Tribolium castaneum: one gene and its partner. The protein of the gene in region 1 purifies or fractionates together with the protein of each later gene. This does not show direct contact. Links are inferred from orthologs where the notes say so. Each region holds a gene or a part of one and is shown in the gene's direction. Other genes may lie near its edges.

What was found.
Region 2: the proteins of Abl (region 1) and fra purify together in Drosophila melanogaster (affinity purification with western blotting; 3 studies listed by BioGRID). This does not show direct contact. The link is inferred for Tribolium castaneum from reciprocal best matches to the Drosophila melanogaster genes Abl and fra.

Annotation. Positions count from the first base shown.
Region 1 is NC_087394.1:5,615,870-5,621,195, forward strand, and holds part of Abl (tyrosine-protein kinase Abl), read left to right. Parts: intron 1-2,532; coding exon 2,533-3,474; intron 3,475-5,326. UniProt on the Drosophila melanogaster protein: Arm and Abl proteins function cooperatively at adherens junctions in both the CNS and epidermis; critical for embryonic epithelial morphogenesis regulating cell shape changes and cell migration.
Region 2 is NC_087396.1:13,013,004-13,017,415, forward strand, and holds part of fra (neogenin), read left to right. Parts: intron 1-829; coding exon 830-977; intron 978-1,024; coding exon 1,025-1,186; intron 1,187-1,236; coding exon 1,237-1,431; intron 1,432-1,497; coding exon 1,498-1,536; intron 1,537-1,590; coding exon 1,591-1,962; intron 1,963-2,589; coding exon 2,590-2,676; intron 2,677-2,730; coding exon of another isoform or gene 2,731-2,744; exon of another isoform or gene 2,745-2,759; intron 2,760-2,780; coding exon 2,781-2,967; intron 2,968-3,017; coding exon 3,018-3,193; intron 3,194-3,582; coding exon 3,583-3,812; 3' UTR 3,813-4,412.

The DNA of each region.
Region 1 (5,326 bases):
TTATTGTGTAACATTTTAGTTGCCTTATATATTTTTTTATTTATTTAAGTATTTATTTGTGCACAAATCATTATTTAACTTTAGTTTCTTTCTGAATGTCTCCGAAAATAAATGACTCCGGAAAAAATGCCTTCCTTTCAAAGTAAGTGTCTCCCATCTATTCCGATGGGCCGAGGTGTAAATTTTTTTGTCCATATACGTTCATAATCATAGCCAGATTTTGTTTTAAATTAGCAAAACGTTATAGATTTTTAAGGTTGATTACGTCGGACTTTAACGAAGGTCGAGCCGCATTTCTGATCTATTTTGATGGGCCGATTACGTTGGTGTCAGAATTTTTTGGTAATCGACATTTGGAAAGCCCATTTTTTGCAAACATTACAAATATATATACATTTTTATCAAATTTTTCGGCGATTAATTTAATTATTTAATTTTTTATTCGTCAACGTAATCGACGTTTAAAAAGTAGATGTTGTTTTGTGAAAATATCGCTTTAAAGTTAGTGGTTAGCAACCAATATTTTCATAGATTACGTGGATAGTAAAATATAGTTTGTAATGTTGATTTATTTAAAAACTTTGTGTTAAAATATCTGAAAAAAGTTTAGCAAAGGTAAGTAAAACAACACGTAAACAAAAATAAGAGAGTGAGAGAACACATAGACGTATAAACGTAAAGCGGAGCATAATAAATAAATTGATAGAAATAATAAAATAATGCGGCAAAAGGTAAAAGTACGTAAAGGCGCCAAATTGTAAAAGTAAGAGCACATCCTAATAAAGAAAAAATTTGTTTTGTGAGAAAAAACTCTAGGTGTGACTTTTTAAATTAATGTCATAGAAATTAATGTTGAAGTGCTGTGTGGTCACTAATAAACCAAGTATTTTACTATCCACGTTATCTATGAATTATGTTAAAGTTGATCACATCTTATCTTAATAATAGGTATCAGCAGGTCACAATAACAAAAAACAGTACTTTATATACATCAAATAAACTTCTAATTAAACAAGGTGTACCTCAAGGTAGTATACTAGGACCTTTATTTTTCGTAATTTATATAAACGACTTATTAAACATTTTAACAGTCTCAGACAACAATAGTGCAGTTAACTTTGCTGATGACACAAACATATTAATTTGTGGTGAAAATATGACAGATACAATGAAAGAAGCAAAGATATGCATGAATAAGGTAATAAACTGGACCAAAGAAAATAAATTAGTGTTAAATTTTGAAAAAACCTACAGCATTCATTTTGCAATATGTAATCACAAGAATTCAGAGAAACTGAATAAAATTGTAATATCATCTAAAGAAATTGAATTAATAGAGAAAACTAATTTTCTGGGAATATGCATTGACCATAAGTTAAGCTGGACTAAGCATATAGATAATTTATTAAAAAAATTAAACTCAGTACATTTTACAATACGTGTTTTAAAAAAATACTTTAACATTGAACAACAAATTTTCAATCATTACTAAGCTACGGTATAATATTTTGGGGGCAAAGTGGAAAGATATCAAAAGTATTTGTTGCTCAAAAACAAGTCATGAGAACTATGTTTAACTTAAAATATAATGAAACTTGTAGGAACATCTTTAAAAGCAATAACTTTTTGACAGTAACTGGTTTATACATATATAGATTACTTTTATTTTTCTTTAAACAGAATCTACTATTTAATGTCACTAACGACCACAAGTACAAAACTCGCAAAGTAGACTTAGAGTATCCAAAACACAAACTCACGCTGACGGAAAAAAATTCTCATTATGCAGGAATAAAACTATACAATAGTTTACCTGTGCATCTACGCACACCTTGTAATTTAAATTTATTTAAAAAGAAAATATTTGACTACATTTTTGGTCTCGAACCATATACTTTAAATGAATTCTATAATAGACAGGTTTTTTGACTTGTCTTAAAATTATTTTTATGTTATTGTTATTTCTGTGTACAATACTGACGTTTTTCGTATCAATTTTGTTATTACATTTGTATAAATTGATAGAAATAAATTATTGGTTTTCTACTGATTACGATGGCGTCGGAACGTTTTGTTCGTAGACGCAATCGGCAATCGATGTTTTTTGAAAAGTACTATTATATATATTTGGAAATATTGCTAGTTTTGTTCGTAAATTTAATAGGCGTTTTTTATAGTTTATAGATTTTTTACGGCGATTGCAGCGGTTAAACTTTTGCATATTGATGGAGCGATTACGTCGGTGTCAGACTTTTTTGTCCATAAACGTATTTGGCGTTTGAAAATTGTTGCTTTTTTAAAATATCGTTTTGAAATTGGCGTCATTTTATACATTCCTACGGCGATTACAATGGTGCCTGATTTTTTGCGCTAGCTTCGACAGTTCCGCCGTAATCGGCGTTTTTCTGCGTCCTTCTAAAAATATCATCGAAATCCTATGTCGGTTTTGATTTATTCGTCAAAATTTTTAAATTTTCTCGACTTTAGCATGTAGTTAGTAAGAAATGAATGCAAAAAATTGCTTTTTTTCAGGCGAACAAGTGCGCATCTTGAGTTACAACAAAAGCGGCGAATGGTGCGAGGCCCACTCGACATCGAACCAAATCGGTTGGGTACCGTCAAACTACGTCACTCCGGTAAACTCCCTCGAGAAGCATTCCTGGTACCACGGGCCGATCTCGCGAAACGCCGCCGAATATCTGCTCAGTTCGGGAATAAACGGAAGTTTTTTGGTGCGCGAATCGGAGAGCAGTCCCGGCCAAAGGAGCATATCCTTGCGGTACGAGGGCCGCGTCTACCACTACCGCATCAACGAGGACGCAGAGGGTAAAGTTTTCGTCACAGCTGAGAGCAAATTCAATACATTGGCGGAACTGGTGCATCACCATTCGATGCTAGCCGACGGACTAATAACACAGCTGTTGTATCCCGCGCCCAAACACAACAAACCGACGGTGTTTCCACTGAGTCCAGAGCCGGACGAATGGGAAATTAATCGGACTGATATCGTGATGAGGCATAAACTGGGAGGCGGGCAGTATGGGGATGTGTATGAGGCGGTCTGGAAGAGGTACAACATGACAGTGGCGGTGAAAACGCTCAAAGAGGACACCATGGCTTTGAAGGATTTTCTGGAAGAAGCGGCGATTATGAAAGAGATGAAACACCCGAATCTGGTCCAGTTGATGGGTGTTTGTACGCGGGAACCCCCGTTCTATATCATTACGGAATTTATGAGTAAAGGAAACCTTCTGGATTATCTCCGGAATGGAAACAAGGAGCAAATTAACGCCGTGGTTCTTATGTACATCGCTACACAAATCGCAAGCGGGATGAGTTATCTTGAAAGTAGGAATTTTATTCATCGGGACTTGGCGGCTCGGAATTGTCTTGTCGGGGAGAACCATTTGGTCAAAGTGGCTGATTTTGGATTGGCGCGGTTGATGCGCGACGACACTTACACAGCTCACGCAGGTAAGGTTTTTTTTGAAAGCTTTAGCTTGGTTTGTTGCCTGTCTGCGTCAAATTTAAGAGAGTTTCATCCTAACTGAAATTTTGCATGCATACGTAATTTCCCTAATAAGTTCCCTAAAGTAGTTTAAATAATGTTCTATAGTATTAATAATTATATATAGGAAATAATTCCAAGTGTTGGCACATCTACATATTGTGATATTTTTGATGAATTTTAATTTTTTTAAATTAAAAAAACTGCTAAAATGTGATAGTAAATTTAAAAATAATTATTCTTCGTTTTGATACGGAACGATTACCTGGTATGAAACATAAAAACATAAAAAATAATGAAAACTAAAAAAGTTAACACAATAAGTTTGTAGCTCCAGATTTTTTAAAATATGACTTTAGGAATTCTTTCAACATTCTTCTCGTAATATGCATTTGCTTTTCAATAACGTACCACTGAGTTGGTGCGCCAGTTTTTGAGCACCCTGTATTCACTAAAAGTTTTGAAATTTTTTTTCTGGTGTCTAGTTTGGCATTCTGTACTAAACTAATTATTAAACATTTTATTTGCTTTAAAATATCATTAAGTGAATGTATATTAAGCCCAAACAACTTTTGTTTGTTTGTGGTACAATTCTCCTAATAAAACCTGGGAAACTTAAGAAATCAAATGTTTTCATCAAGATATAGTCTTATGACAATTGAGATAAAAATATGTTAGCCGATTACTGTTGGTTACAATAAAGAAACTGCCACTAATTAGTGCAAAAACAACCAATTAATTTTTCAAAAGTTTTGAATCGAGCTTTTTTGTGGTGTCTTTACATTCATTATTGACATGATTAACAAATTGTTAAATATTTTGTTTGTTTTAAAATATCATCAGGTTAATGAAAATTAAGCCCATATCACTTTTTCTATGTTTGTGTTTAAATTATCCTAACAAACCCTGGGAAGCTTAAGCGATGAACATGGTGAATGTTTCCATCAAGATTTAAAGTCTTGTAAGGAAAACTATTAAGGTTTTTTGAATAAAAATGTGTTATCCGTTTACTACTAGTCTACATTAAGATAAACTGACCCTAATAGTACAAAAGAAGTAGCAGTCTGTAATATTTTTATTGTTGCAAAAATTGCTAAATACTGAATGAATATTTAAAAAACTTGGCGTCCTAATTTTTTTGACTTCAGTATCAAACTTAGGGCTAGTTATTCAACCAATACAAATTGGTTTCATCTATTGGTTAAAAACGTTGTAAACTGTAGTTATAAATATTTATCAATATCTAAAAATTTTAAAAATTATATAAAAAATTCTACCATGCGATTTTCTAAAATTTTGATCTTGTTATCCATGACAGTTGTCCATTACAGAAATAAGATTCCAACATATTTTTTGGCCTCCAGTACTGTAAAACGTGAATGACAGTTGCCCATTCATGAAAGGTAACTTGACCTTTAAACACGATGCTGTAAACTGGTAGCAAACAATTAGGTAAAGTAACCACAAAACACTGGACGATTAGACATGTTTAAGATACAAACCGTGCTTACCATAATTAAGTTCGTATAACGAAATACTTGTTACCTATAATTATTTAATTCAATCGACCATGGTGTATATTTAATTAGTGAAAATATAAATCCCCCCGGAACAGCGCCACCTATACATACGTTTGGGAACCACAAATGTCATTGATTCTATGCATAATATTTTATAAAGAATAATATTAAAAGCTTGTCGGCCAAAAAGTTTTATACAAATCTCATGCGTTAAGTCATTTTACAGCGCTTCAACTAATAAGGCACTCGCCTTTCAGGCTCGTGCCTCAAACAAAGTTGTCGCGCTGTAAAATGTGAC
Region 2 (4,412 bases), on another chromosome or scaffold:
AAAGCATGAAATAGGAGCGCATTTAAATTTCTATCGCTCCATTATAAAGATTCGTTCTTACGTAAAAAAAACCTATTTATTTTTTGGAGCGAGGTAGAACTTGGAATAAACTGTACGTATATCTAAATAAGAAAAATTAACAGACTTCTTCAACATTACAAACAATAAGAAAACTTTTATATCAATCCCGATGTCAACTGCATTATTTGAAAGATTTTGTTTAGTCTTTAGTTATTTATGTATTAAGGGCGTAAAGAAGCTTCTATGGCCTGAAGCTGTAGGACCATAAAACTGCGTTACTACCGCCATACATATACTATTTTATGCACAGATTAAGTTTTTAAGTCAAATCTCAAAGTTCCGGCGGCTGAAACTGTCCATCAAGTCGCATTACTTACGAGTAGTGTCTGAAAATTCGAAATTTATTTACGAGAAAACTTATCGTGAGTACAAGAAGCATCTTTGATGTTTAATTGACCTTTCACTAATGCTATCTAGGTGATAAACAGAGAGACGTTTATGTTCAGGTAAAGTTGACAATAATAGTTTGATTAGAGTGCATCTATGCATAAAATGTGTTAAGAAATACGATAGAAGACTGATCTACAGTTCGACGAAATTTTAAACGAAGATTTTTGCACACAGATTTAAATTTTTCTCAATTTTTTGTTCAGTTTTGTTATCTACATAAATTACGTTTATGGGCTCAAATTTTTAGTGCCACGAGCTCCCAGTTAATCCGCCTCTGTTTCCAATATTTTTCAAAATGAAAACTCGGGGATCAAAAGTAACCATATTTTTTGTTGGAATTACCGGGAGTGTTTTTTAGTTCGTGCGGGACAACCGCTACTACGTGGTGAAATACACCGCCGAAAGAACGATGCGAACTCGCACCGTGAACGTGTCAGACCTCAACGTGATGATCGACGACCTCAAACCAAACACACTTTATGAGTTTGCGGTGAAACTCGTCAAAGGTTTGTTTGCTTTAAAAAATGACATTTTGAAATTAACTTAAAATCAGGCCGCAAGGAGAGTCCCTGGAGCATGGTTGTGCAGAACGCGACATGGGAATTGGCCCCGAACGCGTCCCCACGGGACCTGGATGTGCATTTAAAGGAGGACGAACCGCAATTGGTGGAATTGACATGGCAACCCCCTAAGATAACCAGCGGTCGAATAACAGGTTGGACCGAGTTTATCTTAATTGGGTTTTTTATCGCCCGTTTTCCCCAGGTTACGTGATCTTATACACGGATAATAAAACAAAAAGCGATCGCGAATGGCTCGCGCAAGCGACCAAGGGTGACAAGCATTCAGCCGTGCTGGGCGACCTTAAGCCCAACACCGAATATTATTTCAAAGTTCAGGCGCGGAATAGCAAGGGTTATGGACCTTTTTCCAATGTTGTCATTTTCACAACCGGGTCAAGTGAGTACAAACTTTCACCTATTTGTTTTTTATTTTTGGTTTTGTTTTTGTTTTTATTTTTGTTAGATGTTGGTACTTTGGTAAGCAGTTCGCGGCAACATTTAGGTAAAGGCACCCCTTGTTTTTTGTTGTGTGTGTGTAATTTTATTGTTGTTTCAGACGGGAAAGGAATTTTTTCCGGGACTGTTATCATATACTTCCTCATCGGAGGTTGTATCATTGCCGTTACGACGATAGGCGTCGTAACAACCGTTTTGTGTTGTCGGAGACGCGACGCTGCCGCGTCCCCAGATAGGAGTAAAAAGGGTTACCAGAAAGGTAACCAAAGTGTGAAACCCCCAGATTTGTGGATACATCATGACCAGATGGAGTTGAAAGCAATGGAAAAAAGTCAGTCGAACCATGATGGTGCTAGCAGTAGTGGCGCTATGACTTTACCGCGAAGTGTGGGAGGTAACGATTATGACCCCCACGAAAGTGGTATACACACTAATTCGTTAGATCAACGCACCTATGTTCCTAACTATATGGGTGAGTTTAGTTTTGACGATTGGTACGCATGCTCTCAGCGGATTTTTGGTTCAACTGACATAGAATAGGATAGTTAAAAGCGCACTAAATCGGAAAGTACGCGCAAAAAACGAATGTTTGGAAAACTCGCTACTTTTTTTATTAAGATCAGATTTTGTTTGTAACAAATGTTGACGTGCGAATTTTCCTAAGTTTCTGAATTCCCAGATGTTTTTACCGTGATCCAGAATTACTTTTTTAGTTGGCAATTCTGAATTTTATTTTTAAAAGCGTATCAGATTGCAGTGTTGCAAATTGTTAACTAAAATTCTTTCAGATCTGTTACCAATCGAAACAGTAATTTTGGAGCACTTTTCAGTTCCGAATTCTCTTCATTAATGAATTTCTCACGAAATTGTGGCTCAGACAAACAACACTTTACATAATTTTCGCCCCAGCGTAACCAGATAATCCATTTCCGCTTAATTGCGCTTTTTTTTTCCCCTTTTAAGCGGCTTTCGCCACCCCAAAAAATCAATTAATGAATAAAAATACCACTCCAGCAAAATTACGTACTTTAGAGCGCTTTTAATAAACACAACCTAGTTTTTCTTTTATTTATGCACTTTTTCGCTTTGCTACACCTAGGTGTTTCCCCTGACGATAAAATCAAACGACCAATCAGATCTAAGCCAATTATAACGTTACCAGTGGTCTCCACGCCGCCGAGAGAGCGTAAGTATGGCTTGCATGTGCTGTTTGTGTTAGTACAAATAATACAATTAATAGAAAATCTCTATTGATTTGCGAAAATGTGAGAAAAAGAAAATATTTTGCAGCAATAGCAACCCCAATTAATACCACGTCTCTAAGCCAATCGAGCACAGACTCGACGCCTTCAAGTCGGCCTTCGTACCCCCGCACCCAGTACAACATGGCTCGGGCCCATGTGACCGTAGATCCGTTAGCAAACCCCGAAAATCCCTACGCCTTGCATCCCTCCAGCTGGACCGAGCCCAACATTAGGTACCAAACCACTGAACAATCAATTAGGTTATTAACCAGTTAAAATGCAGCCAAGTGCCTCCGATGGGGGCCCACGTCCCTGCCACGTACGCCCCCGGCCTGGGCGTCCTCGCCGAGTCCCAGGGGTGCAAGCGCGTTCCGGCACAAAGCCACCCCTTGAAGAGTTTCACAGTGCCGGCGCCGCCCCCCATCTCGGCCCCTGGGACGCCCCAGCCGAAACACATTGGTGAGTTGCTGCAAAGTTCGAAGTTTAGCCTTTTACCGATTCATTTTCGACAAAAATGCCCAAATTAATGATTTATTTTGAACTTTGAATTTTTTTTCTATACTAAAAAAATAACTAATAGTTAATATAACAACTATTATGTCATTATGTCTATTCGACTCAGTAATATTAGTTATTAATTCTTACATATCTCATAAAACTAAATTTAGTTTTATTTGGAGTTATAGAAAGGAATATTTTAAAATACAAGGTGTGTTAAAATGATTTTCATGTAGCCGCTTGTGTGCACATTTTTGTTTTGTTTTAATTTTTAATTGACAATTTGTGATTATTAGTTTTTGTAGTAGTTAGTTACCTAGGGAGAGTTGTGGTTACTAAACTGTTTGCAGTGCGGCCCAACTCCTCGCCCTACAAGAAGCCCCCGACGAGCAGTTCGAGTACTTTGGCGGGCACGCCCCCCTCTCGCATAAACCCGACGAATCCGCCCCCTCACACCGCTGAAGAAGTACAAAGACTGCAGCCGTCGCACTCCACCGAGGAACTCAATCAGGAAATGGCGAATTTGGAAGGACTCATGCTCACACTTAGCACAATCACAGCGAATCAGTTCGAATGTTGAAGTGAGAGAGACGATTTTAGGCAGCTTTAGTTTATTTATTTCGTGATTTTTGGTTGATATTAGTGGCGTGAAAGGGGACTTTAGTTAGTTTTGCAGATCTCAACGTAATTTTTAGATCGCCAATCGGTACAAATTGGCAGGCCTACTTTTATATGCCATAAATAGATTAAGTGAGTTTTGTACGGCCATTTTATAGCGGATTTTCGACGACTCTAAACTACAGTGGAACCTCTGTAACCCGGCCGGTTGGAGAGGTTGCACCGTCGTTCAATTTTTAGTTGTTAATGTGATACGACAGGAGACGGTCCACGATTCAGTATTCTTGCCTCGATTTGGTGGTGACCCGAATTGGCCCCCAAATGAACGATTTTATTTAAATATTTTTCTAACCGTTCTAGAAGAGTACAATCAACTGATATTTAAATAAAATGGTGATACTCAGCTTGTACATACACCTGTAAAAAGTTCTGTATTTATTAAATAAATCGATTTTTACATTTTGTATTATTGTACATAAAAATGTGAAATATATTTAAATTTTATACATTAGTACTAAATGTAACTTACATTATCTGCTACAATGCTTTAATCTGAGCCCGT